Linked DNA regions of Macaca mulatta. The protein of the gene in region 6 interacts with the protein of the main gene of each other region in a pairwise test. Links are inferred from orthologs where the notes say so. Each region holds a gene or a part of one and is shown on either strand. Other genes may lie near its edges.

Region 1 (4,100 bases), on a different chromosome or scaffold from region 6:
TCCAATCCACCATTAATGAGCACCTAGGTTGACTCCATGTCTTTGCTATTGTGAATAGTACTGATGAACATGTGAGAACATATATCTTTTTGGTGGAATAATTTGTTTTCAGTTGCATATATAACCAGTAATGGGATTGCTGGGTCAAATGGTAGTTTTGTTGTAAGTTCTTTGAGAAATCTCCAAACTGTTTTCCACGATGGCTGAACTAATTTACATTCCCACTAACAGCATATAAATGTTACCTTTTCTCCTCAGCGTCACCAACATCTGTTGATGTTTTCACTTTTTTTTTTTTTCCTTTTTGAGACAGAGTCTTACTCTGTCGCCCAGGCTGGAGAGCAGTGACTCCAACTCAGCTCACTGCAACCTCCGCCTCCCGGGATTAAGCGGTTCTCCTGCCTCAGTCTCCTGAGTAGCTGGGATTACAGGCGCCCACCACCATGCCCAGGTAATTTTTGTATTTTTAGTAGAGATGGGATTTCACCATGTTGGCCAGTCTGGTCTCGAACTCCCAACCTCAGGTAATCTGCCCGCCTCAGCCTCCCAAAGCCCTAGGATTACAGGCGTGAGCCACTGTGCCCGGCCAAGAAGCCAAGTTTTAATGGGTACACAAGTGCCCAGGAATTGGAGAGTGGGGAGTGTGCGTTGACTATTAGTCAGAGACTGTCAATGGAAGGGAAGGAGTCAACGATGGGAGTGAGAGCTCTGAACTCGGTGTTCGAAGCGGGTAATTTATGGGAGGGGCATACCTATGAGCAGACGATGCACTCAGACACGGAAGATCTGTGCATTGGACAGAAGAGACACCTTTTTCCTCTGCAGTAAGAACCAAGGAGGTAAGTAAGGGGTCTGATAGATATGAGTTTGTGCATGTGTGCTGGGTGAGTAATTGAGATAATTCATATATTTGAGAAAAGACAGTGAAATATTTAAAGGTAAATATAATAAAACCAGCTGTGGCACCTATTGGATAAGGAATTACTAACTGATGATTTAGAAATTCCTTTATGTGCGTTAGGAGCTCATTTGTTATCCCCATTTTACAGATGCGCAGCCCCAGGTTCAGTAACTTGCTCTAAATGAGACTGTAGAGACTAACTCCAGCACCCGGCAGCTCTCACCTTAAGCTGCCTGGCTAAGGTCAGCAGCAAGTAACCTGGCAGCGTCTGGGGGCCTGCGGCCGAGGACAGGGCTGGAACTACACTTCCCAGTATGCCAGGCGGGGCGGGGCGCGGCGGGGAGGGCGCAGGCTCCTTCCCAGAAGCAAAAGCGGAAACAAAAGAGTCTCGCCGGCCTCCCCGCCCGCACACTCGCGCACACTCGCGCTCGGGCGCAGACGGAGCAGGGACCGGCGCCCGGAGCGAGCCAGGGAGCGGCGAACCGGGGACCCACCGCGCGGAGCCAGCTGAGCTGCCAGCGAGCCCAACTCGCGAAGACTCACGCCCCCGAGCCCCGCAGCCGACCCCTGCCGGCCGGTGTCCCCACCGCGATCCCTGATCCATGGCGCTGAAGCGGATTCAGAAAGTGAGTGCCGGGGCCGGGCCTGGGGCTGCGGGGCAGCAGGGCAGCGGCGCCTGCCCACGCTGACTCGGCCAGTGGTCCCGAGAGATATGCAGGGAAAGCACGGGATGGAAGGGTGGGCCGGGGTGCGGGCAGGGAGCTGGAGGCTCGGGCCCGGCCAGCGGGCACCGGACAGGTTAGGTGGGAGCGGGGGCAGATCCCAGGCGGCCGGGGGAGCTTGAAGGCTGGGGGCCCGTGGCGCGCTCGCGCCGGGGCCGCTCCCGGAGCCCCAGGGTAGAGAGCCTCCTCCGCGTCCAGACCGCCCCGAAATCTGTGCTTCACGGTCACGGCTGGGTTTTGCCCTCCATGAGGCTAGTTTTGACCCCTGTCATGCTGTGTTTTCTCCAGGCTGTTTCTTAAGCCTGTCTCTTTTATGTTCTTGCTTACCCGGGCTCCCCGGGAGGGCACGGAAGGTGGGGTGGGCCTGCAGCCTTTCTCCGCGGAGCTGTCGGGTTGGTTCTTTCTCCTCTGCGGTTGGCTCTTGCTCAGTTGCCCGAATGGGCTGGAAAGCCCATTTGCGGCCAAGAAGCCAAGAGAAGGCTCCTGCCCCTTCTATTTTGGTGCCTCTGCTGCTGCCACTTCAGGTCACATAGCTGTAGCGAAAACATAGTTGCTGATACACAACAAGATGACCTCCTGGCTGTGATTCACGGTGAGTCAAGCCAAACAGGTTTTTTTTGCCCCTCATGGTAAACTTAGATGTAAAGTTCGAGACACAACATAAACTGTCGCAAATAGATTGTTTTGATGCTTTGACACATGGGTATAAAATGAGGAAGAAATATGTATCTTCATCCAACAACTGTTCACCCATCTCAACCCTGTGTGTGGAATTGTCTTTTTTTCACAGTATTTATTGCCACCATTTCAGAAGCGAACATCCTTCAGAATTGATATTCGGGCATTTCTTTCTGTTCATTTTTATTTCTTGTTGGTCTGTGTACTGACCCAAGTTTTAGGTTTTACAGTTACAGTTCACACTGGGAACATTGAGAATGTGTTTGTTAAATAGGGAGTGCTTTTCACTAAGTTAAGCAACAATGGTCAGTGTATTTTGTAGTTGTTTCAGAAGAAATTAATGCCCACATTTTTATCTACTTTTTTGACCAGTAGTCCATTATAGCAATAGTAAATGTTAGAGCAGTGATAGTGACGTACACATTGTATTCTGACTAGCCACTAGTGGCATCTTTAGGTACAGAGGACAGCAACTTTTAGAGCCTGCCAGTTTTTTATTTTCAAATTCTAAATCTGTTGATCACCTGTTATTTTTTGTCCCATTTAAAGGTCGTCTCATTGTAAAACATACAGTTAACAATCAGCATCAGCATTTATTAAGTTATAATGTTTTCTTGTTTGAAGATAGTTCAGTTACACGTTGTTTTATATAAATATCCTAATTTTGAAGCCTCAGTCGGCCTCTTTACCATAACTTGCATACTTATTAATGACGACGTAATATTGGTTCACATTTGGATCAGAAAATGCACATCTTCCAAGGAAGTTTTCAAATTCTATTTCCTTCTTTCCTAGTTGTGAGAATTTTTCACATGATTTTGCACATACAAGAGCTTTTTAAATTATCACTGTGTTTTTTTAAGAGATGGGGATCTCAGTATGTTGCCCATGCTGGTCTTGAACTCCTGTCCTCCAGAGAGTCTGGGATTACAGGCACAAGTCACCATACCCAACTATAACAATAGCGTTTAAATGCTGTGCAATTTGTCCACAGTAAGTGGATATTCAAAGAAATATGAACATTGTTTGTAAATACCATACTTGGCAGTTCTCGTCAATCACCATGCTGAACTGGTGTATTTGATTTGTATTTATAATGTGTGTGTCCAAATCTTTTCTTTTTAGTATTTATTGGTTATTAGTTTATAGAGTTGTTCAGAAAAAAAAAATTACTTACATGGAATTGATATCAAACATGTGACAAATCGATATTTTGGAGAAGAAATTGGGATCATATACCATCACATCTCTGTGCGTTCATCTTTGGCTTCCCTTTCTGATATCAGGCAAGTTAACTTACACAAGTCTTTCCATTAATCACACATTCAGACCGTTTCCTCAAACCTTAGGGGTGATTATTTTGATTGATTCCCTATTTTTCCTCCTCCTTTATCTACCTCCTTGATTAGAAGCCAATTCTAGGTCAGTTGTGCCGCCTGCCATATGAACAGTTATACCATCTTCTTCTTTGATGTCATCAGTATAGACATTCTTATTTGAATCTTTCATGTTCCAACAAATGAAGATGTATACTAACTTTTGGCCTTTCTTCCTAAGCTCCTATTGAAGTGTTACTATAGTTTTCCTGTACCTAAAGTTGCAGACTGTAGAGCTGTGTGGAACCTCAGATAAGTCTGCCGTAGTGTACTAGAGGGTACCAGCACGGGAACAGCTTCTAGGGTAGTGTCTTAGAATCACCTGAGGGACGTTTTCAGACTGTCGTCACTTCTATAAATGGAGAGGTGTTGAATCCCTCAGATGGGTTGGGGTGGAAAGAAGACTGAGAACCACTGATGTTC
Region 2 (4,200 bases), on a different chromosome or scaffold from region 6:
CAGCTAGCCCTCCCGTTCCTCTCTCTGACAGCTGATCTCACATGTGCCTCCCTGGGAGCACCTGCTCTGAGCTGTATCAGTCCCCAGCAGGGCGCTGATTATCGCTGAGGCTGCCCACAGAGCACGAGATTAGGATGCAGCAACGCACTGTGTGTGTGAGATCACGTCCCGAACCTTCTGACTCATCTGCACAGGAAACCCCCACTGCCTCCCCTCCAGTCAGAAAGGACCTGAAATTCCACCAGTGGCAATACCAAGGAAACTTCCTATTAGCTAAGCCCCTGGGGAGTGATGGGGGAGGGAGGCGGTGAGGAGGATGAGGATGAAGCCTGAGCAACCTGGATGTGAGGCTGTGCAGGGGATGAGGACAAGGATCGTTGGGGTGAAGGAAGAGAAGAGCAATTTTAGTTTTTGCTAATTTTGTAACCTGGCTCTAAGCCAGCCCTTACAGGAAGTCAGCCTGGCCTCCGGCTCAGTTCAGCAAGTGATAGGGAAGCCACATTCAGGCGGAGCAGGGAAAGAGGTAAGGAAATGGAAGCGGGGCTGTGGTGAAGTGGGGAGTCTACAAATTCCCGCTGCCTGGGGCTGTTCCTAACAGCCGCTGGGAGCTAGCTGCAGGTGTGGTGCCTGGCAGGGCGGCCGGGCCATCTGACCTGGATTTCACTCCAAGCTGGGCTGCAGCCTGAAGGATTCCTATCGCCCACCTTTGCCTGGGCTGGGCCTTTCGGACTTACATGGCTATGAGGCGTGCCACGGTGGTCTTGAACCGGTCAAAGATGTAGCCAGTGGGGAATGTCATGAAGTTGTTCATGAAGGACCCCAGGGTGAAGATGAGTGAGAACCTCTCATCCTGGGCTTTGCAGTCTGGAGAAGAAAAAAGGTTTCCCATGCATCCCAGCCTTCCTGCCAAATGAGCACACAGCCTGGGCTCCCCCCTCCACCTCGGACAGCTCATCAGTCAGAAGCTCGTCCCTTCAGCTCAGTTGAAATGTGGCTGCCCCTAATTATCCCTCAGGAGCTGGTGCCTCCCTTCCAGGCACTTCCCAGACCAAGTGGGCTGAGGGCTGCTGAGCCTTCCTCTCATCATAGAAAGAGGGGTGGGCAGGGGGCAGAGTCCTTCCTGCTCCTTGCCACCACCTGGGAGCCAGACTTAACTTCCTTAGAAAAGTCATCCCTGCCCTTACCGGCCTGCCCTGTGGCATTGCCAATCGGCCCAGCATCTTGTCCACACAGCTCCTTAAAGTAATCCTCATTCTTGAAGACAAACACTAGTGAAGGCCAGCCAAAGAGGACGCCAGCAAAGCCCAGGCATTCCAGCAGCCCCGTCAGCAGTGTGGCCACGTGCAGGGGCAGGCCCTGGCCCGCCATGAGCAGAGGTGGAGTGGATCTTCAAATCCCACTTTGTCCTCCTGGACGGATCACAGGCGCTGTAAGCCTGGCGTTTGAGCACTTGGAAAATTCCTCTGGCAAGCCAAGCCCTTCCCTTCCCGTAGCTCTCTGGTTCTGTTTCAGGCCTGGGCAAAAACCGTCAGCGGGTGATTCTCTGGATCCTGTAAAATAAAGACAGAGGCTGCTGGAAGAGGAGGCCTGCGGGAAAGGCAAAGGTGGACTAGAGTTATTTGTGGGGTGCATTAAGAGGCAGGGTGATCATGGCCGCTGGCAGCAAATATGGGGAATAGATACTCCAATACACTATCTTAGGCACTGCATTTGAGTAACCACGTGGTAAGTAGAGAGGCAGATCTTAATTGCCACCTGGAGTCACAGGTGAGATAAACGACTTACCCAATAGCTCCCCGGCAGCAGGTGGAGAAGCGGAGGCTCCTGCGCTCGAATTCTGAATACCGTCCACTAAAATAATGACAGCAACTCAAGCAGGTACAGGGGCAGGGAGGCCCTACACAGAAGACACACACTCCCGCTGCCAACTTGGTGTTGTTATCTTCAGTTTATTGACAATGAAACAAAACCTCCCGCAGATTTCAGGAACTTGCCCAAGATCACAGGGCTAGTTTAGTCACGAGGCAGGCCATTCTACTGCCAGAAATACCCCAGCTCCCATGACCCTCGCCTAGGACTCGCAAACATGGTCCCCGCTGCCCTGCCTCGCATCAACTTCTACCAGGAAAGCCTCGGGGGGCCGCTCCCCGCCAGCCTCCGCACCCCGCTCCAGCCTGCGGCCGGCCCTCCCCGCAGAGGAGCCCGAGGGGCCAGCCCGGGCTCGGAGCCCCAAGGCCCCCGAAAGGGGACCCCTCGCCCTACCCGCGTGCTCCGCGCCGGGGCTCTCCGCGCCCTTTCGTTCGCATTCGCGCCTCTCGCCGCCCCTCCCAGTCCCCTGCTCGCCTCCGCCCCTGCCTGCCCTCCCGGAAGGGGTTGGGGCAGGCCTCCCATTCTCCATCACTTCCTTCTTCTTTTTCCTTGCTCACAGCCTCCCGCGCCTTTTTTTACCTCTCCCTTTTGAAACTTCTCCCTCTAGGATCCCCTATAACCCCAGCGGTGTCTTTCCCTCCCTCCTCACTGCCTTTCAGCCTCCCAGCCCCCTTGCCTCTGCCTCCCCTAACCAAGTTAGTTGAATGCTGTTACACGCTCAGGCCCACCTAGGAAAAATGTCACCCACTCACCCACTTACCCAGAGGACACGCAGACAGCACATGCGGGCATAGGGACACACACACTCTCTCTATTTGTGCATTTTGCCTTGACCGCTGGGTGGGCAGGGAACATATTTTTCCTATTTGCTCACCACCTCAACCCTCTCTCCCAGTTTCACACTCCCACAGCTGCCAAAAACATCCCAACCACAGAATCAGGCAGCCAAGAACCAGGACTGAGGGCTTTTCAGAAACCACCGCCTGGAGGACTGCCCCATCTTTTCGCTCCCGAAGACCCCTTAGATGACTCCCGGCCTCACCCCCACCCCCAGGTTCTGAAAGAACCTTCCCAGCAGACTGCATTGATTAACTATTCATTCATTGCCCCATTTTTTATTAATCAAAGACATATATAATTGCCCATCGGAGCTTGTGATCAGCGTGAGGTAGCCAGTCTAAGCAGCTGCCTTACCATCCCTCCAGTCCAGAGCACGTGAGCTGATGTCTTCTTTGGCCTGAGTGGCTGTTCCCTTGTCAAAAGCTCAGTTTGGGGGAGAGCTTCTTGCATATTAGATGCAGTCTGCAGACTCCCAACCCCAGCTACCTGGATCCCGTGGGGGCCCAGGAACTCCAGCTATTCCAAGCCCACTCCTCTTTTTTTTTTTTTTTTTTTTTTTTTGAGACGGAGTCTTGCTCTGTCACCCAGGCTGGAGTGCAGGGGCCGGATCTCAGCTCACTGCAAGCTCCGCCTCCCGGGTTTACACCATTCTCCTGCCTCAGCCTCCCGAGTAGCTGGGACTACAGGCGCCCGCCACCGCGCCCGGCTAGTTTTTTGTATTTTTAGTAGAGACGGGGTTTCACCATGTTAGCCAGGATGGTCTCGATCTCCTGACCTCGTGATCCGCCCGCCTCGGCCTCCCAAAGTGCTGGGATTACAGGCTTGAGCCACCGCGCCCGGCCACTCCTCTTTTTTTTAAGAGGAAGAAATAGAGGTTAGGATAGGGGACAGCCAGAACTGAGTATTTTCCAGATCCAACTGAGTATTTTCCAGTTCACCACCAAAACACAAAAGATAAAGTCTGTGACCACTCTAGTGACTTGACTGAATGGAGGAAGGGTGGCTGGGGTCCTGTACCCCAAGCTACTTGCTAGTTATACAACCTGAGGCAAGCTCTTTGGCTGCCCCACCTGTAAGACAAGGACAATAGGACCTTAATTATAGGAATTGTCTTAAAAGAAGTATGAGATGGGTGTATGAGGTCCCTGCATGGCGCAGGTGCTGTAGGCAGATTGTAGGGTAGTGGATTTCTAGTCTGCAGTTATGTAGACAGAGCCAGAGAAGCAGCTTTGGGGAGGAATTTTAAAGGAACTTGCCCATGGTCACTCTACGAAGCCGCAGTACCTTCCCAACTCTGAAACCTATGCTCTCATCACCCCATCTTAACAAACATTTGGACATTAGAGAAAACAAGTCTCTTCTTAAAATAACATTTTAAGTTATTTTAAGAAATACATTTTAATCCACAAAAATATAGCAGCCCGGGACAATCAGGGCTTAAGATGCAAGATTTTCTATTTTACTGCAAGACAGACTCTGAAATTAATGCAT
Region 3 (3,953 bases), on a different chromosome or scaffold from region 6:
AAAAAGAAACACCAGTTGAGAGAAGAGTGATGGAACAAAAAGAAATGGAAAGGGATGGCAGTATGTAATGATACGCTACTTAACATGCTGGACACTCCCAAAGACCTTGGGATTCTTAGGACCAAGTGGGGCCAGTCTCAGAGCCTCCCATTGGATGCAAACAAGATGCACCTAAGGAAGCCTGGACAGATGCTTTTTGTTTTTTGTGGTCTTTTTTGAGGGCGGGGCAGAGGGAGCATGACCGGGAGAGGGAGGAGGAAAGGAAGGCCAGGGTGGGGGGAAGGATCAGCTAAATCTGAGGGAAGAAGAAGGAGAGGAGAGGGACTATTGCATAGCAGATGCAAATGAAGGGACTTGGGGCTAGTCAGGAAGAAAGGGAAAGGGAAGGCAGGCAAGAGAGAGGAGGTGAAGGGAACCTCAGGAAGGGGTGTTAAGGACAACCAGAAAAATCTTCTAGTAATAAAACTACAAACAGACCAAATATATATAATATTATATATGTATAAATAACAGCTGGCTATTTACAGGGGGACACACACACGGACACACACACGCACGGATCCAGGGAAGGGGGGCTGAAAGATATGGCTGAGAGGTGGAGGAACGGCTGAGGGTGGGGGGAGAGGCCCTTCTTTAGGCAGGGCAGACTCCTCAGGGATTTAAGTGCTGAAGTAAACTGTGGAGAGAGGGGAAGAAGATGAGGAAGAGGGAGAGGGGAGAGAGAGAGGGAGAAAGAAAGAAAGCAGTGTGTCAGGCCTGGCCCTGCTCCAATCCTCCCCACTCCCCAGCTGGCTGGCACCCCTACCCCTCTCTTGGACTCAGTTTCTCCATCTACAAAGCAAGGGGTTAGACAGGTAGGTTATGAGGTCCCTTCAGTTCCATGGTATGGCCTTGAGGCCACATACCCTAATCCTCTGAGCCTGAGGCCACAAGCTCTCAAATAATGGGGTGGTTGGCTTCCTGGTCATGTCTCAAGCCCCTGGGCCTTTCCTTTCTCCCACTCCTCAATTCCAGGGCTCTCAGATTGGGCTCTTAGGCCCAAAGGGTCCTCAATGGATACACCAACTTTTATATTTCTAAATGTTAACAAAACTGCCAAGAACCAGGCAAAATGCAGGCTAAATAACATCAAAGTTTTTGGCTCTAGGTGAATCAGAATTGCCATTAGCAGCTATATGTGTTTTTGGCTGAAGAGTAAAAACTAGGTTAATGACCTTCAAAACCCAGAATCCACTGGGGAAACCTCTCCAGGGAAAGGGCCCCGGCCATTCCCAGCCTACTCACCTATGATGATGATGAGGATGATGGCGCAAATCACTCCCAAGATGATCATCATCTGGGGGTGAGAGGAGAGGATCAGCGAGACTAACTATGATACCCCATTCACCTGCCAGTCCTCCTTCCTGTCCCCATCCTTACCTTGAGGTTTTTCCACCAGTATTTGCGCTTGAGCTTGGCTGCACTTGTTTCAAACTGGGAGGCCCCTGCCTGGAGTGCATCTGCACGGTCGTCCAGCTCCGACAGCTTCTGGTCCCGCTCCAGGACCTTGTCCACGTTCACCCTCATGATGTCCACCACCTGGGAGAAGGGCCCACGGGGCAAGGGGGTGTGCCAAGGCCCACCTCATGAGGGCAATCCTCAAACATGTGCCCACCGTGCCACACATGGAACATGCACCCTGATGCTGCCAGGTTAACATGCCAAGGACACACACAGTACATGCCTAGCACACCTGGGGACATGCAAGGAGCACACATCAGGGGATTGCTGGTGACATCTCAGATATCATAGCAACACCCTCCCTCTATGGCGCCTCAGGCGCTCTGTCCATCACCAGAGCACACCTGCCTAGGCTGGCACACCCCAGGCTAGCAAAGCTGATTAACACCCCCAGCACCCTTCCAAGTGCGTGCTGACAGGGAGACACGGATGGGGCAAAGTATCTTTGTCCGCAAACCCACAGGCGTGAACTGTCATCACTCCCAAACCAACATGGGCCCCTACACCTAAACGCCAACCCCCAGGGTCCTTTCTACTGCTTTTGACTCCCCCCACACTCACCTCATCCACCTGGGCCTGGGTCTGCTGCAGTCTCCTGTTACTGGTGAGGTTTGGAGGGGGTGCAGGGGGGCCACCCTCCCCAGCCGGGGCGGCAGGGGGGGCCGTGGCAGCGGTAGCAGACCTGAGGAGCAGGGACGGATTAAGACCCAGGGCCTGCAGTCTCCCGGCCCTGCAGCCAGGGCTCCGCCCATCCACCTGTCCATCCTCGTCCCTCCAGTCCTCCTTTTCGGGAGGAAGGCCACCCGATGGAAGCCCTGGTCCAGGTCCAGCCTCGCCACCGATGAGCTGCGTGACCTTGAGCGAGGCCTCCCCTCCCCCCGGCCTCAGTTTCCCCGCCTGTCAAATGAGGGCGACCTCACAGATGTGATCGGGGTCGACCCGAAAAGACAGGCGGCCGCGGTGACAGGGGCGGGGCGCGGCAGGAGGACACAGGGTCCGCTCCTTCCCGCGGCCATCGCTCGAGCCGGCCAGCCCGAGACGCTGGGCTTCTCGGCCGCCCGCGCGCAGTCACCGGCTTGGGCCTGGCCCCGGGGCGCGGGGAACGCGGGAGAGACCCCGGGCACTCCCCACGGCCGGTTGCCAAGGGCGGCGGCCGGTGCAGGGAAGCGCGGTGAGGGTGGCGGGCGGCCGACTCACATGGCGGGGGCAGCGGGTGGAGGACTTGGCAGCAGCAGTGATGGCGGCGGCGACTCGCGCTGGCTCCGACTGGCGCTGGCTGCCCGGGACGGAAAGATGGCGGCCGCGCGTCACCCGCATCCGGGCACTGCGGGCGGGGGCGGGGCGCCGCGGGCGACGCGTCGGGAGCGGGGCCGCGGGGGCGGGGCGCTGCGGGACTGGGGTCGTGCCGGGCGGGACTGCGGGTCTGGCGCCACCGTGCCCCGGCAGCTCTCTGGGCACTCACGGGACCACCAGGCGGGTTGCTGCGGCTTCCCTAAACCCACCGTCACCCCGCCCTGTCTGAGCACAGCCTTCCACAGCCGCCCCCAAACCTCTTGCCACCTGCCCCTTAGGGCACACAGCAGCCTGGCCCCGCACCTAACCCCCAGACCACTCCCTGAATCGTGAACCCAATAAGCCAGCCTGCATCCCACACAGCCCAAGGTCTCGCCCCGCGCCCAGGTCCCAGCACCTAGCGACCCGCCTTCAGCACTGGGAATGGGCTGGGGTTGGGAAATCAGAGAGGGTCAGTACAGGCGCTGGGGCAATATCGAGAGCGGGGACCCTGCTGCTAGGGTGGAGGGGAGTGGAGGAGGTTGGTCTCAACCCATCACCCCGCTGGTGGATGTCTCAGAGGAAGCCTGCGATCCCAGGCCACTGGGTAGGAGGGTGGGAAGAAAAGATGAGGCAGGCTCTTCCCGCCGAAACAAGTCCAGGGGGTGGAGGACCGGGGAGTGTCTACAGGGTGTGAGGAGGGGGGTGCCCCGCCTCACGATTGAGGTTCAGACCAGGGGTACTTAACAGCTGGAGCAGGCCCGACTGAGGTGGGGTGAGCTGAAGACCCCGAGGAGGAGGGCACAAGGCAGCCGGGGCTGATGGGGGCAGGGGCTGCTTCACGTGGTGGCTGCTGACTGGCCAAGACCTAGCTTTGCCCCAGGCTTGGGTCAGCGACCCCAACTGCAGGAGAGGGCTCAGGCTTTGGTCCCAGGCACAGGGACCAAAAGGCTTTTTTCTCTCTCATTTTTTTTTCTTTAGTAGTAGGCACAGTGGGTACAGTTTACAAGGTGCTGCTTTACATGCGTATTCGCCTCGCAGGTGTGACCTTGGACAGTTGCCCTCCTCTCTCTGGACCCCAAATACATTGCATATGTAGATACTAAATCCATATTCGTTAAATGGCTTGATGTGGATAACATGGAAGATTATCCCTATCTCCATTAGGCCCTCTAAGCACA
Region 4 (4,259 bases), on a different chromosome or scaffold from region 6:
CTGCACTCCAGCCTGGGCTGGGCGACAGAGCGAGACTCCGTCTCAAAAAAAAAAAAAAAAAGAGTATGAGCTGGGCACAGTGACCGACACCTGTAATCCCAGCACTTTGGGAGGCCGAGGCAGGCAGATCACTTGAGGTCAGGAGTTCGAAACCAGCCTGGCCCACATGGTGAAACCCGTCTCTACTAAAAATACAAAACAGCAGGGCGTGGTGGCTCGTGCCTGTAATCCCAGCTACTTGGGAGGCTGAGGCAGGAGAACTGCTTCAACCCAGGAGGTGGAGGTTGCAGTGAGCCGAGGTTGCACCACTGCACTCCAGCCTCGCCAACACAGCAAGACTCCGTCTCAAAACAAACAAACAAAAACAGTATGGAAACTAGTGGTTTTCAAACTTTATTTTTAAAAGTGACAGAACTCTTTCTTTCTTACTGTAGAAAAATACTCTCTATATAAGAGATAAAGGATTTGTTGAAGCAGGGACTCCCAGTCTGGTGAGGTGGCTCACATTTGTAATCCCAGCACTTTGGGAGGCCAAGATGGGTGGATTCCTTGAGCCCAGGAGTTCAAGACCAGCCTGGGCAGTATGGTGAAACCCCATCTCTACCAAAAATACAAAGGTTAGCTGGGTGTGATAGCTCACATCTGTGGTCCAGTTACTCAGGAGGCTGACATGGGAGCATTACCTGAGCCTGGGAGGTTGAGGCTGCAGTGAGGCATGACGGGGCCACTGCACTCCAGCCTGGTCGACAGAGTGAGACTCTGTCAATCAATCAATCAGTCAATCAATCAACCAATCAATCAATAAGCAGGGACTCCCTCACCACACACCCACCTCTCTGCGGCTATCCAATCTATTGTGTGACAGCCTGAAAAACCATCTTTTTTTTTTTTTTTTTGAGATGAAGTTTCGCTTTTGTTGCCCAGGTTGGAGTGCAATGATCTCGGCTCACCGCAACCTCCGCCTTCCGGGTTCAAGCGATTCCGCCTTAGCCTCCCAAGTAACTGGGATTAAGGCGCCCGCTAACAGGCCCGACTAATTTTTTTGAATTTTTAGTAGAGACGGAGTTTCACCATGTTGGCCAGGGTGATCTCGAACTCCTGACCTCAGGTGATCCACCGGCCTCGGCCTCCCAAAGTGCTGGGATCACAGGCCTGAGCCACCGCGCCCAGCCGAAAAACCACCATCTTAGACCGTCCTAGAGCTGGCAGAGCTGGCCCATCATACTCCATTAAACACTGGCAAGAAAAGCCTGTCCAAATCAAATAACTTATTTAAAACATGTTGAGATTATTTGTGTACTTGATAAAAGGAATCTACTACCAGTATAAATGCATTCAGATTAGTTGTGTACAGTCGAATTTTTATTTGTAGGAAATATTTCGATTTTTCTTCAGATATGTGAGACACCCCAAGAGAATATCGTAAGTATAAACTGGGTTTGGGGAAGAATAACATGGCAGTCGGGTCAGTATCTAAAGCTATATCTAAAGCTCTTGTTCCTAATTCCGATAGCATGTCTGTAATTGGGCCCCCAATTTCAAATTTAGTCCACTCTTCTTTTCTATACAACGAGAGGCTTTATGCTCCACTTGCTACATGACCCAAATCAATAATCCCATGCAGCAGCTTGGGGAACCCGAGGTTTCCACCATGGGACCAAATAAACTCAGGATACTTCTGAGAACTTCAATCCCGTGAAATAACTATTTCAGAGAAGGATCCTTGTGGAAAGACCGGAACATGAAGAGCATTCTGAGGTAACCCTTCCCAACTTTCTCCTCCACACATTCTTGCAGAGGAAATTAAGAGGGAGAAAAAAATTAAGAAATCCCAACTTAGTCGGGACTCTAGGAGTACATGTCAAGCATAGAACTCCTAATTTAAGGGCCAGGCTCCCTTGGGAAGGTAGCGAGTGCATCGCGACAAAATCCTACCTCCCGCCTTCGGAATCAAACGGCCCCGCATCCAAACAGTTTAGAATCCAGCTTGTTCTTAATGCTACAGTCAAGAGAGGATCCATAACCCGCCTTGGTCATCTGCCCTTCTGTGTTCACAACCGTTCATAGCACAAGTTCTTCGGTCTAACCTAATCTTTCCCTGCTGCGGGGTTAAGCCCAACCTTTCTTTCTGACCTTGGGGAGCCGGCAGCTCCCCGCCCGGTGCCCTCACAAAAGCCTGAGGGGGCCCCCTCTCCAAGATGAGACGTTTCTCCCATCCCCCCACCCTCCTAAATTTAGGACAGGGAAGCTTTAGGGCCACTGTCTCTCTTCCGGGACCGATCACACTTCGTTCCAAATAGGAAACGATAGGGGAGTAAAAAGATGGAGGGGCGGGAGACCTGGACCCCGGAGAGTCACCTTCCAGCTACCCACAGGAACCAAGCATCCGATCACTCGCGCATCCCTCTCCCCTACTCCCCCGGCCCTCAGTGGACCCCACAGGGAGCCCCGCCGGGTCCACACTTGCTCCGACCCCCATTTCGCGCGCCCCCTCGGCTCCATCTCCCAAATCCTCAGGCGACGAGTGGAAAGGGGGTCCCTTCCCTCTCACCTGGGACGGAGGCGCTCGCTCATGGCAGCTGGCGGAGGGAAGCTACGCTGCGCCGCTCCGCGAGAAGAGGGAACAGAGGGGGTTGTGTTTCGGCGGCCGCCACGCCCACCCCCTCGGGCCTTAGCTCTCGCAGCCGCTCGGGTGGACGCAGCCGGTGGCGAGTACCCCTCAGTCGGACCCGTACCACCGCTACTTCCGGCGTCTGCTCCGCGCCCCCCCATGTCGCTGCCGCCGTGGTACCGCCCTCTCGCGGCTGCGCAGTGGCACGATCCCAACCGCGCCGACCGGTAACCCCGCCCACGGGAAGAGGCGGGCTCGGAGGGGGAGGAGCGACTAGGAGCTTCTGGGAGAAAGGACCTCCCCTGGGGTGGCGGAAGCACTCGCCTGTTCACAGCCAACGGAGGGTACGGTATGAAAGTCAAGCCAGGTTTCAAATAAACTCAATTATGTCATAATAATATCATACAAGTATTTGAGTTGAATCCGTGTGAGGTAACATTTTTAAAAATAGGCGGACCTATCCGGCAGTGGTGCAGACAGCCTGACGCGGTTTCCTGGCCGGGGGTTGGGCAGGCGCTTGGGGGGCTTCCCTGGGGGGGCTTCCCGCCGAGGCCGCCTGGGCTTTCGGGTCTTCCGAGGTGAGGACGGTCCTGTGAGGTGAGCTTCCAAGGGCGGGGTTGTGTTCCGCGACCCACGTTCTAGGTCTGGGGAAGACTGTCCTGAGCGGAGAGGGGAGGGAATCGGGTGCCGGCGGAGGGTCTTCCTGGAACCGCAGGAGGAACCCCTCGGTGGGGCTGCGGGAACGCCGGTGCCTGACCCAGAATCTGCCAGGCCGACCCCATCCACTTCGCTGGCAGAATCAGAACAGCTTTCAGGGAAAGGAAGGGTGCGGGGAGGTGGGCAGGCTGGTAACGCGGCCGGAGGAGGGAAAGGTGGCTGAGGAGCGCCGGAGGTGAGGGCGAGGATTAGTGGAACTGTTGAGGTCCTCCTTGAGCCCAGAGGCTTGGGAGGTCTTAACTCTCTGCTTTCCGGAACCTGTTTGTTTTTGATTCAGTACCGTGCCGCATTTACTCACTGCGCGTGCTGCCAAGTCACCTGTCTCATCGTGTCTTACACAGGCTGACATTCACGTTTCATTCTGCCACACTCGGGAACGGTGATCGGGGAAGAATGGGGATCCGGGAGAAGCACCCGCAAAACTAGCATCCTCCTAGAGGAGCTCGAGTAAGTAAACAGCCACATATAGACGTTACCCTGGGAATGTACCGAGATGTTTCAAGTAGGATTGAGTGTGAGGTGGAGTGGAGGCAGAAACGTCTAGCAGGTGTCATGCCCTTTCTAACGTTATTAGCCGAAGGTCCATGGACTGGCTTCATTTGTGTGTATTTTTGTAAATAAACAGTCTGTGGCTTTCATCCTGTTAGTGTGTACCTCCAAACAAAGAAAGACTGATGGCTCACGCCTGTAATCCCAGCAAGCCGGGCGCGGTGGCTCACGCCTGTAATCCCAGCACTTTGGGAGACCGAGGCGGGTAGATCACCTGAGGTCAGGAGTTCGAGACCAGCCTGGCCAACATGGTGAAACCCCGTCTCTACTAAAAATACTAAAATTAGCTGGGCGTGGTGGCCCAGGCCCGTAATCCCAGTAATCCTAGCCACTGGGGAGGCTGAGGTTGCAGTGAGCCGAGATCGTGCCACTGCACTCCAGC
Region 5 (3,500 bases), on a different chromosome or scaffold from region 6:
GGGGTTAGGGCTTCCACACAAATTTTGAGAAGTGTGGGTCTCGACCTATGACAAGCATTAAGTTCTCCTTTCAGGATGGTGGAGTAAAGATGTTCCTGTTCCATTCTCCCCAAAATTACCCGAAACAGAGCAGAAAATGAAATATACACAAGCTCTATCTTCAAAACCCAAGAGATCCATATTCACAGAGGAAAATCTATGAAGACAAAGTAGATAAAGAAACAGTAAGTGACTTAGAGAGGAAAAAGCAAACCTGAAGACTTGCTGGAAGGGGCCAGAGGACACGCATGGGGAGCCAGTTCTCTCCACAGAGCAACATGAGGGCCCAAGAAATGGAGGCATCAGCTGTTGAGGAAGACAGCTGGGTAACAGGCAGGTAAAAGAAAGGAGTTACTAGACAGTCTCAGTAGAAACCCTTCACCCCCATATACCTGCTCCTGCCTTGAAAATCCCGGTGCTAATTCACCCAACACCAATAGGAAATGAAAAGTGTATTTTCTGGAGAAACTAAACCGGGCATACATGTAAAGACAGCAGCAGTGGACAAATGCCAGGCAGAGAATGAAATGACTCTATAAAGTACTGCATACTGACCAGTGAGCCTCTGAGTCCCTCTCTTTGGAGTTCTCTTCTGCTTCCTGTACTGTTTCTGCTGAGAGGTAAGAAATTATATATATATATTTCTTTTTTTTTTAAGTAACAAAGAAAAAAGGAGGAGTTTGGAGAATTTTTTTTAAAATCTCCCCTTCTTCCCCCAAAAAAACCCAAATCAGTAAAATATTTAGAAGATAAAGTCAAGAAAATACACCAAAATATAGAAAAAAGATAGTCAAAGATAACTTACAGGAGAAAATCTCTAAAGTTAGAAGATAAACCTGGGAGGTCTACAATTTGAATAATAGAAATTCCAAAAAGAGAAAATGAAGGGATATAAATCAAACAGATAACACAAGAAAATCATCTAGAACTAGAGATGAATTTCTAGATTGAAAATCAATTTCAAAAAGACTTTCACACTAAATCACATCATTACAGAATGCCAGAAAAAGAAAAGATGATATTAAAGTATTTTCAGGGGAAACAGAGAAAATCCCCCACATAAAGCCTGAAATTCACATGGCCTTGGATTTCTCAGGAACCAGTACCCAAAGTTAGAAGAGCAATGCCTCAAAATTCTGGAGGAAAAATATGTCCAGTTTGGAATAGTCATCAATAAAAATGCAAGCAAAGTGTGAGAGCTGAATAAAGATAGTTTCAGACATGGAAGGACCTGAACATGTTTACCTTCCATGTGTCTTCTCTTGGGAAGCTACTAAGTAATATGCTCCACCAAAACAAAGAAATAAAGCAAGAAAATAGAAGAAATGAGGCTCAGAAATCAGAGAACCCAACTTAGGAAAGCAATAAAAGCAATTCCCAAGATAACTTTAAAACAGTGATTCTCAACTTTGGCTGCACATTAGAATCACCCGGGGAGCTTTTTGAAACCCTGAAGCCCAGGCCACAATACAGCAGGCTCTCTGGAGGTGTAACCCAGGTGTCTGTGATTTTTAAAGCTCCCTAGGTGAATCCAGTGTGCAGAGGAGGCTGAGAACTATTGTGTTAAAGGAAAGTCCCAGAACAACGGCTGTGCACCAGGCCTACAAACACCCAGGACAGGTTAAAGCAGGAGGAAAGAGGGATCCAGGAGAGAGAGGAAAAAAAAAAAATCGACAGGTTATCTGACAGGTGTAATTTGGAAAATTGTTTAGAAATCTGCATCAAGAGGCATTTTGTAGAACAGTCACAAAAGCTGTCAGAAGACCGTCAAATGTTCAAAGGAAACTAAGAAAACGCTAAAATAAAATATGTTCAAAGAGTTTTACAGGAAGATATAACCACAGTATACCAACTGGCTTGGCAGTGAGAAAATGTTTATATAGTCATAAAAGGGAAAGCTCAAATTACTGAATAATTATAAGAATGAGAGGAAGAAATGAGTTAATAAGGTCTAAAATTGATTAGTCAAGACATATCAACACATATTAACAGATATTCAGAGCTAACTAAGAAAAGAAACAGGTGGTGGGTTGCATAATGGCCCCCCAAAGATGTCCCAATCCCTGGAATCTGTGAATGTTTCTTTATATGACAAAAGGGACTTTCCAGAAATTAAGGATCTTGAAATGAAGAGATTAGCCTGGATGGTCCAGGTGGGCCCATTGTAATCACAAGGGTCATTATAAGAGGAAGCCAAGAAGGTCAGGGAGGGTGCAGAAGGTTGGGTGAGATGGAAGCTAAATTGGAGCAATGCAGCCATGTGCCAAGGGTTTGGGGGGACAGGGGACAGATGCCCCCTGGAGCCTCCAAAAGGAACCATCCCTGTTGATAACCTCATTTTAGCATTTTAAAACTCATTTTTATTTCTGATCTCCGGAAGCGTAAGAGAATAAATGTTTGTTCTATTAGGTCACTACATTTGTGGTAATTTGTTACAGCAGCAATGGGAAATGCTAAGTGTTCCAAGTGTTGGGGTGGAAGTGGAATTCAAGTGGAGCAAAGGGACACATAGTAAGTATTTTATTTGACTTCGTAATGAATGAGCATGTGACACGTAGATAAAAATTACAATAACCAACCTGCACTGAGTGCTCACAGTAGTGTGAGAGAGGACAGCTGGAGAGGCACGAGCTAGAGAGCTCGGCCCCTCAGACATCAACATGCACACACATCTCCCATGGATTGTGTTAAATGCAAGCTCTGATTCAGGAGGCCTGCAGTGGGGCCTGAGATTGGTCTGCATTGAAATCTTTGCTCCTGATTTCAAAAGCTTTGCTTCCCCTTACCCCTTTGCAGAAGCAAAGATTTAGACTCAAGGCCAGTCCTGCAGACCCTAGAGGACTAAAAAGGGGCCATTGTAAAGAAAGAGACAGAATCTAGAATTGAAGGAGGGAGGGAGGGACAGAGAGAGGAAAGAGCTTTGTGCCTAAGCTATTTTGATTTTATCCTTGAAGATATGGGGGACCACTGAATGATTTGGGGAAGTGAAACACCAGGATGAGATTTTTTCACATCGTTATTCTTTGTTGAGGAAGTAGAGACGTAAGGCCTGGTGCGGTGGCTTGCACCTGTAATCCCAGCACTTTGGGAGGCCAAGGTGGGTGGATCATTTCAGCCCAGGAGTTTGAGATCACCCTGTGCAATGTGGCAAAACCCTGTCTCTACAAAGACTACAAAAGTTAGCAGGGCATGGGGGTGCATGCCTGTGGTCCCAGCTACTCAGAAGGCTGAGATGGCAGGATGGCTTGAGCCTGGGAGGTGGAGGTTGCAGTGAGCCAGATCACGCTACTGCACTCCAGCCTGGGTGACAGAGTGAGACCCTGTCTACAAAAATTTAAAAAATAAAAGATAAAAAAAAGTGGGGGCATAAAACCAGAGACTAGAAACCATTTCACATTTAACTAGAAATATGCAGTGATGGTTGCTGAGGGAGGTCTGATGATGCTGGTACTTCTGCCTAC
Region 6 (3,500 bases):
CTCGTCTCACAGTTGAACTAGAAGTATAAATGTGACAACAAATGCTCTAGCCAGAGCAGGAGAGATGGCACACCACTAAATAGCATTCTCCAAGAGCCAGTGATCGAAGTTCATTTTCCCCAAACTCTCTCAAATCACTAAGCATTCGCCCTTTGATTTCTCGTTCTAGTTTGCTCCTGCTCTTCAGTCTGTCCACCATCTTTCTCAAGGGGGGCAGGACAGGGAGCACCAGTGTAAAATATCTTCCCTCTATTGCTCATCTGTCTGTAACATACCCAAGCAGAAGAAATATGCTATAAAGGTGCAGGAGGGCATGGGTGCAAAAAGGATGTGTCCATGAGTGCTCCAGCTCATGAGCCCAGTTCAAATTGGGTCTAGCCAGACATAAGATGAACCAAGTATCTTACCATTTATCAAGAAGAAAAAGGCTCCAGTCTCATTTGCTACAGCTCGAGCAATCAGGGTCTTTCCTGTTCCAGGAGGTCCGTAAAGCAGGATTCCTCTAGGAGGCTGTGGACCAATGCAGAGTGTGATTACGTTCCCACCTTCTCCCAAACCCTAAAATGGCTTAACTAGGGCTCCAGAGACGGGGAGAACCAGGCTTCAACCCTGACAATATTAAGAATAAGCCCTCAGTAGTAAATGCTAAGCAGACAATTTACTTTAGGCCACAATCATTTCTATTACTAGCAAGGAAAATACTGCTAGAAAGTGGGCAATATTTATGACTGTAACTTGCATAGGAGACTAAGGGCAGAGAAACTCTAGTCCAAATGTATTTGAAGATACATGACTAGGCAAAGGCAAGAGGCCATTACACAAAGGGCTCGATTTCAGACAGACCAAGGGCCAAAGACTAGCTAAGCCATTTAAGAGAGCAGGGTCTATTTTCTTCATTGCCAGAGAATCACTCACTCCAATAACCACGCCCTCCAGAATTTATCACACTGGAATGGTGTTTCTTACAATCATCAATTTTCTTCTTTGACACTACCCTTTCTATGGCCCTATCCACAAGCAGAACATGTAAACTGTCCACATAGAAGATGAATTTGTGTGATACCTACTAGGAAAATGAGTAACTTCATCTTCAGTGTGTTCCATGATATAGAAAAGATTGGGAAGCTACACTCTAGACCAATAGTTCTCAAATGTTTTAGACTCAAAACCCTTTAACACTCTGAAAATTTCCTTAACTTCCTTACTTCTATTGGGTGACACTGCTCTAGACAGGCTGGCAAACTATTGTGAGATTTGTTTTTACGGGGTCCATTGATACAATAATGGCTTTTATATTCTAAGAGTTGTGGGAAAAAACCCATATATGTGTGTGTGTTTTGTGCGCACATACACACGACAGACAATTTAATTAGCCTACTCTGGTCTAGACCATCAGCTCTAATGAATTTAGAGCCTTAGGTAAACTAAAGGATATATTATTGCCCCTCTAATCCAAGGCAATAATGAAAGCCATGTATGAAAACAGTCCCAGGATTAGACACTGGATATTAATCACCACTTTAGACTTGATCCCAGAGCCCAGGATGCTCACCTTCACACCAATTGCCTTAAAGAGGGCAGGATGTCTCAGGGGCAGTTCCACCATCTCCTTTATCTGAGCTAGCTGCTTCCTGCAGCCACCAATGTCATCATACCCTACTTCATTCAAGGACTCTTCCTCATCCTGAATGTGGAAGAGAGAAAGGAGAAGGCAAGAATATTATATCAGCAAAAGTTGAGTTTCTCTAAATCATTCCACTACCTAGTATGCAAAAACCTAGCGTATGAGTATAATAAGATTATCAACCCGGCACGGTGGCTCACATCTGTAATCCTAGCACTTTGGAAGGCAGAGGTGGAAGGACTGCTTGAGTCCAGTTGTTCCTGGGCAATACAGCAAGATCCCATCTCATTAAAAATTAAATTAAATTTAAAAAAGAAGATTCTCCTCTAAAGGGATCCAGCCTCAAAGAACCACCACAAAAATCCCAAGGCAAAGATTTCCAGCACAGTCCTTGCCTCTCACATTACTCGTAGTCTTACTGAGAAAGGGTCTCTAAAACCTGAAGCTGGAAACCCTGGGAATGGGCAGAGGCCTGAAGCCACCATCAGCTTTACTTCAAAAATGGTTTCAATCACTTATATATTTTGGATTCAGTCTAGGTTTTTGAAATTCCTGACATTAGGTACATCCAACAAACAATTAGGCCCAGAAATGAATAGCTGGCAGGTTTCTCATCCCTGAAAGATGGTTAGTTCTCCAAAGAACACCCAGTCTTTTTTTTTTTTTTTTTGGTCAACCAGGCTGGAGAGAAGTGGCACAAACTCAGCTCACTGCAACCTCCAACTCCTGGGTTCAACCGATTCTCCTGCCTCAGTCTCCCGAGTAGCTGGGATTCCAGATGTTCACCACCAGGCCTGGCTAATTTTTGTATTTTTAGTAGAGACGGGGTATCACCATGTTGCCCAGGCTGGTCTCGAACACCTGACCTCAAGTGATCTGCCCACCTCAGCCTCCCAAAGTACTGGGATTACAGGTGTGAGCCACCACAGCCGGCCGAGCACCCAGTCTTGACAGTTACCACATGATGCCACACTGAGTAATCATGAAATTGGATACTGGAATCAGGGAGAAAACTCACCTCTCGTTTGATAGGCTCCCCTTCGCAGTGGATCACTGTGTCTGGAGCAACAATGCAATAAGGGCTAGGATCTGTTTCCACCACTTTGAACTCCACAGCACGCATCCCACCACGGACAAGAAAAATGTCTCCTAGGAGAGCAAGCAGTACAAGTACAGTTAGGGGCGTCAACTACAAGACAAAGTGAGAACTCATCAGACCCTGGGGTCAAAATGCCAAACTCATTAGATATTGTCCTATTTCTCCCCAACTCCACCTGTCTTAATAAGCAGCAGGTAAGAGGAGAAAGGTAAACTGTGAAGAGTCCCTCTGACGCTCAAGAGGTCAGTCAAGAAAACCTGACATGTCAGAAGACTATCAAGTTCTGACTTCTGCCATGTAAGTAGCCCAAGTTTTCACTACAACCACCAATGATAGAACTGTGCACTCTGGACCCTGACCCAGCCAAAATGGACCACCTTCTCCTTCAGAGATCCATAAAGATAGCTTACTCTCCCGGAACAGAGAAGGGGAGAGATGGGAGCCAGGGAAGGATGGAGGAAAGGAGCAGGGTAAGACATATGAATATGTGTGCAAGGTTTGCATGCATGTGTATACAAATATATGAAAATGAGTCTAGCGGCCAGGCACGGTGGCTCACCTGAGGTCGAGTTCAAGACCAGCCTGACCAACACAGTGACACCCCATCTCTACTAAAAATACAAAAATTAGCCGAGCGTGGTGGCAGACGGCTATAAGCCCAGCTACTCAGGAGGCTGAGGCAGGAGAACTGCTTGAACCCAGGAGGAGGAGGATGCAGTGAGCTGAGATTGGACCATTGCACTCCAGCCTGGGGGACAGAGTGAGACTCTGTCTCAA
Region 7 (4,053 bases), on a different chromosome or scaffold from region 6:
TCTGCTTCCCACAGTGGACTGGGAGTTCCTTGAGGGTGGTGACTAAGGTTTTAAATCTCTATGTCCCACCCTAACCAAGCACCAGTTACCTTGTAAGTGCTTCATATCTGTTGTTAAGTAAATGAATAATGGAGAACCTAGACAAGGACTTGACAGAGAAGCAAAAGGAACAGTGACTGCCCAAATAGTACTTTTCACCCCTGGAAATGTTGTTACTACCCCGAGCATACAGTGAGCAGCCCACATCCATATAGATCAGCAGACCAAGTGGAATAGAATGAATGGAATGAGCCTGGCTTCTTCAGGCCTGATGCTGAGGACATGTGCCCTACCTGTATGGAGGAGATAGCTCTATCCCCCTCCAAAGACAGTGACAACACAGGTACATACACAAATGTATAGCATGTGTCACAGTCCTTAAAGACATTACATAGGGCTGAGCAAAGTAGGCACCTGTGCGGGTGTGGAGGACATATGGTAGCTCCAGAATTCCAGGAGCCAGCTCAGGGCAGCCCAGAACAAAGCGTCAGGGCCTAAGCAGGGTGCGGAGGGCGTCTGCATGGGGCAAGGGACAGTGTCATGATGGCAGTTGATGACATTTGGGGGATTGAGTGAATAAGCATATAATATATTAAGGATAATGGGAGCCAGCTTCTGATGAATGTTAGAGAAGGGAGTTACAAATGTAGAAAGGGAGTGTTGGATTGGAATTGGAAGTATGAATTGGCAGTATGAATTTATGGCTTTCAATACATATAGATTAATATAGAAATAAATAGATACGTAAATAGAGGAGGAAACTGGGATTCAAAATTAGATCTGTCTAGCTCTTTTCACTGATCTATACTACCGCCCTACACATAGGGCCTCTGCTGTGAAACCTCTGCCCCCTTCCCTGTCCCCCCAGAACCCCAACCCTAGCTCACACAGACTTAAAAGATTCCACCCTCCTGGTTCCAGAGCATGCATCACACCTCATGTCATTAGCTGCACACAACTATCTCATGACGTTTTGATTACACTGAGGGTAGGCCTCCTCTTATCTGTATTCCCTGCATCTCCCTTGGAGCCAGGCACATGGTCATCACACTAGTTAGTATTAATATTTATTGTGCAGTTGTTATGCATCAGGAAAGACTTCCCATACATAATCATTCACAGCTGAAGACAACCTTATGAGGGATGTATTACCATCGTTCTCATTTTACATATTGGCAAGGTAAGGTTAGCGGTGTTAACTGAGGTACTCCAAGATGCAGAGCTAGTGGGAAGTAGAACCAAGAGTCAAGGCCAGACAGTCTAATTCCTCAGGCTGTGCTCCTTGCCCCTCAGCTCTGCCACCATGGACTTGGTGTAAGTAAATGTTCACTCAACAAATTCCTCCCGGGGGATTTGTGTATCTGAATGCTCTCCCTCAATCCAAGTCCACTCTTTATGCTGAGCTTACTTGAAGCTCACCTCTTTAGGGAAGCCCCCCACCCCGCCATCCTACTCTGCACTGCCTCAGCATTCCTTGGGCACAGGACTTGCACCACGCCCTGACATATGAGCCAGTCAGTGTTGGAGCAGGGAACATAGTTTATCGACATTTGTTGAACTGAATTCAATGCCCAGGAATGGAAGTAAACAGGAATACATGACAAGGTGGTGTATTGTACAGGATACTGTGGCTATCTATTTCTGGATTTTCCTGAGAGTTCCAATTTCTAAAATTCCATCCTCTCATCAGACCATTTGTCAGAATACATGGCCAAGAATGTAGTCTGGAATTTTCTGTAAAGAGTAGGGTCACCATTCTACTGAAAAGAGATAGGAATGAAGACAGGATGTGCTGCTGGTCACCCACAACTCTACACATCCATGAGCAGGTCACAGCTTCTCTCAACCTCTTTATCCATGGGTAAAACTACAATGCAACACCTACTCCTACTGTGGAATGAAACAAAGTCTGTGTGTGAATGTGTTTTAAATACCGATAAAGAATATTGTCGCATAAACCCAGTTACTGTTAGTGGGATTACTTATATTTTTACTGATCTGTCTGGCAAGTCGTTTTCATTTGTCAAAGTAAATAAGCTTTGAATGAAGGCCACTGCAGAAAAAAATAGGGTATAAAAAGAGGAAATGCCAAGGCGTTTCTAGTGTTTTCAAAAAGACACACCTAGATATTTCCATCTTTTAGACTCTCCTCAGTTTGGGGTGTGTGTGTGTGTGTGTGTGTGTGTGTGTGTGTGTGTGTGTGTGAGAGAGAGAGAGAGAGAGAGAGGTGAGAACTGGGGGCTGAGTGGGCAGAGGTGACGTTTTTAAGAAATGGTATGAGATTCTACCTTGTAGAGGAACTAGGCCATCTTACCTTTGCTGTATTGCGGATCAGTTCCCAGCTGTGTGAAGTCTCAGGTGATAGTCCGTTTGAGAGATGAGTTCTGCTGGCTTAGCAGTAGCTCAGGAAATTTTTCTTTCTCTTTCCAGTATTCTGTGTCCCAGCTATGCATGAAAACTGCTCCACCATTGTACATGCAGGGGTTAACCAGGACATCCCCTGTCCCTTCTGCAAGGCTTTGGGTAGAGCAGATTCATAAAACTGAGAGCAGCTATGGAGAGCTTAGCGGGAGAGTGGTCCCCTGCAGAGCAGCATGCATTAGCATCAGTGACAAATCTATTCTGGTTTGGATGGGGCTGAGACGCCCCTGAACTTCCTTCTGCTTTTGCCAAAAGCCAAGATCCTTTTGTTCACCTTTAGGGTTGCCAAGTCAGGCCTACCTCGCCCCTAGATGTTGTTTCCTGTGGGCAATGGGAAAATGATCTTGGAGCCAGAGAAGGGAAATCAACAAGGAAATAAACACAGGGTCACCACACCTTCAGGCCATCATTAGGTCTGGAACATTATCATGCTAATAGGCAGGGGCTGCTGACTGGACAGGCCCTAGAATCCTGGGCATCTTTTATTTTTGAATATGAAAAGGGACATGCACCAAAATCTATATCAGGCAAATAAGTAGTTCTGACTTGTTCCAATACCTTGCCAAAACTTTCAAAGATTTTCTCTCGGCAGTATTGCTCATAACTGAACACTGGCTAATGTTTGTGGACAAAGAAGAAGACTGAGCAAGTTTGTGGCTGATACTACTTAAGACTCTTAACTCTAAAGATACAGAATGATTGTTTAAATAAGGATTTCTTCTGCTCATTCTTCAGCATTACCATCGCCATCACTGTCAGCCGCTGCAACATCTTTGCTAACATTTATTAAGTGCTTACTGCCTACCAGGTTCTGTAGTAATTACCTGACCTGCATTATTTAATTTAATTCTCAACAGAATCTATAATTATCACTCCCATTATATAGATAAAGAAACTGAGGATTAGAGAGATTAAGTCGTTCCTGCAAAGTGACCCAGCTAGTTAAAAATGTAAACGTTGCGCTTCTGGAAGTGTGCTTTTCTGAGTTTTGCTTTTCCCACTGGTTTGCTTAAGCACTTCTGTGGGATGACAGCTCCAGTGATGGCCAAAGATTTTGCTTAAATAAGCGATAAGCTCTGGGAATTCGATTCTAAGTAGAAATGTGAATAATTAGTGAATTAAGTAGTCTCTTTCCAGAGATGTGAATCGGGAGCTCGGTGTTATCTTATGTATGTGCAACATGCAAGAAAGACACATGGAGTGCAGGTACTTGTGGCTCCCTAATTACAGGTGGTGCCGCTGGCTGCGGTGCCTTCAGCTCTCCACTGTGACTCTGATTTACAAACAAGGAAGTACACTGCAAATTCCTTGGCCTCTGTGTGCATTTTGGTCATGGCCTGATTGCCACTTTGTCCCTTTGACTTTCGGAGCCAGCTGCTACAAGTTTCTTTTAATCAATAATCCACGGAGTGAATGAGGCAAAATTGCCAACCTGGAAAATTCTGCCTGGTGAGATGAAGTCAGCACATGTATTTTCAGTCCTAAGGTCACACTTCTGACTCTTTTTGGTTCTACCCCTAATCTTTATTTTCAATTGCTAGCACTTAGCTCTCTTGTGTCATGGCGGTTACCCAGGGCAGCTGGCATCTGGTC

The links.
Region 1: the proteins of VCP (region 6) and UBE2D1 interact in binary tests that used the Homo sapiens proteins (3 or more experiments, as listed by UniProt). The link is inferred for Macaca mulatta from reciprocal best matches to the Homo sapiens genes VCP and UBE2D1.
Region 2: the proteins of VCP (region 6) and SLC43A3 interact in binary tests that used the Homo sapiens proteins (3 or more experiments, as listed by UniProt). The link is inferred for Macaca mulatta from reciprocal best matches to the Homo sapiens genes VCP and SLC43A3.
Region 3: the proteins of VCP (region 6) and VAMP2 interact in binary tests that used the Homo sapiens proteins (3 or more experiments, as listed by UniProt). The link is inferred for Macaca mulatta from reciprocal best matches to the Homo sapiens genes VCP and VAMP2.
Region 4: the proteins of VCP (region 6) and VCF1 interact in binary tests that used the Homo sapiens proteins (3 or more experiments, as listed by UniProt). The link is inferred for Macaca mulatta from reciprocal best matches to the Homo sapiens genes VCP and VCF1.
Region 5: the proteins of VCP (region 6) and EPSTI1 interact in binary tests that used the Homo sapiens proteins (3 or more experiments, as listed by UniProt). The link is inferred for Macaca mulatta from reciprocal best matches to the Homo sapiens genes VCP and EPSTI1.
Region 7: the proteins of VCP (region 6) and LNX1 interact in binary tests that used the Homo sapiens proteins (3 or more experiments, as listed by UniProt). The link is inferred for Macaca mulatta from reciprocal best matches to the Homo sapiens genes VCP and LNX1.

What each region holds. Positions count from the first base shown.
Region 1 is NC_133414.1:91,527,783-91,531,882, reverse strand, and holds the start of UBE2D1 (ubiquitin-conjugating enzyme E2 D1), read left to right. Parts: upstream 1-1,300; 5' UTR 1,301-1,503; coding exon 1,504-1,527; intron 1,528-4,100.
Region 2 is NC_133419.1:15,977,102-15,981,301, reverse strand, and holds the start of SLC43A3 (equilibrative nucleobase transporter 1), read right to left. Parts: upstream 2,801-4,200; 5' UTR 2,630-2,800; intron 2,624-2,629; exon of another isoform or gene 2,263-2,623; intron 1,852-2,262; 5' UTR 1,786-1,851; intron 1,551-1,785; 5' UTR 1,369-1,550; coding exon 1,185-1,368; intron 865-1,184; coding exon 735-864; intron 1-734. UniProt on the Homo sapiens protein: Sodium-independent purine-selective nucleobase transporter which mediates the equilibrative transport of extracellular purine nucleobases such as adenine, guanine and hypoxanthine.
Region 3 is NC_133421.1:9,677,680-9,681,632, forward strand, and holds the start of VAMP2 (vesicle-associated membrane protein 2), read right to left. Parts: upstream 2,801-3,953; 5' UTR 2,700-2,800; coding exon 2,698-2,699; exon of another isoform or gene 2,265-2,697; coding exon of another isoform or gene 2,257-2,264; intron 2,183-2,256; coding exon 2,062-2,182; intron 1,579-2,061; coding exon 1,420-1,578; intron 1,337-1,419; coding exon 1,285-1,336; intron 677-1,284; coding exon 660-676; 3' UTR 1-659. UniProt on the Homo sapiens protein: Involved in the targeting and/or fusion of transport vesicles to their target membrane. Major SNARE protein of synaptic vesicles which mediates fusion of synaptic vesicles to release neurotransmitters.
Region 4 is NC_133421.1:82,885,699-82,889,957, forward strand, and holds the start of VCF1 (protein VCF1), read right to left. Parts: upstream 2,801-4,259; 5' UTR 2,773-2,800; coding exon 2,552-2,772; exon of another isoform or gene 2,551-2,551; intron 1-2,550.
Region 5 is NC_133422.1:22,250,113-22,253,612, forward strand, and holds part of EPSTI1 (epithelial-stromal interaction protein 1), read right to left. Parts: intron 362-3,500; coding exon 254-361; intron 1-253. UniProt on the Homo sapiens protein: Plays a role in M1 macrophage polarization and is required for the proper regulation of gene expression during M1 versus M2 macrophage differentiation.
Region 6 is NC_133420.1:64,662,549-64,666,048, reverse strand, and holds part of VCP (transitional endoplasmic reticulum ATPase), read right to left. Parts: intron 2,814-3,500; exon of another isoform or gene 2,774-2,813; coding exon 2,643-2,773; intron 1,685-2,642; coding exon 1,517-1,684; intron 559-1,516; coding exon 408-558; coding exon of another isoform or gene 385-407; intron 1-384. UniProt on the Homo sapiens protein: Necessary for the fragmentation of Golgi stacks during mitosis and for their reassembly after mitosis. Involved in the formation of the transitional endoplasmic reticulum (tER).
Region 7 is NC_133410.1:79,855,989-79,860,041, reverse strand, and holds the start of LNX1 (E3 ubiquitin-protein ligase LNX), read right to left. Parts: upstream 2,801-4,053; 5' UTR 2,354-2,800; intron 1-2,353.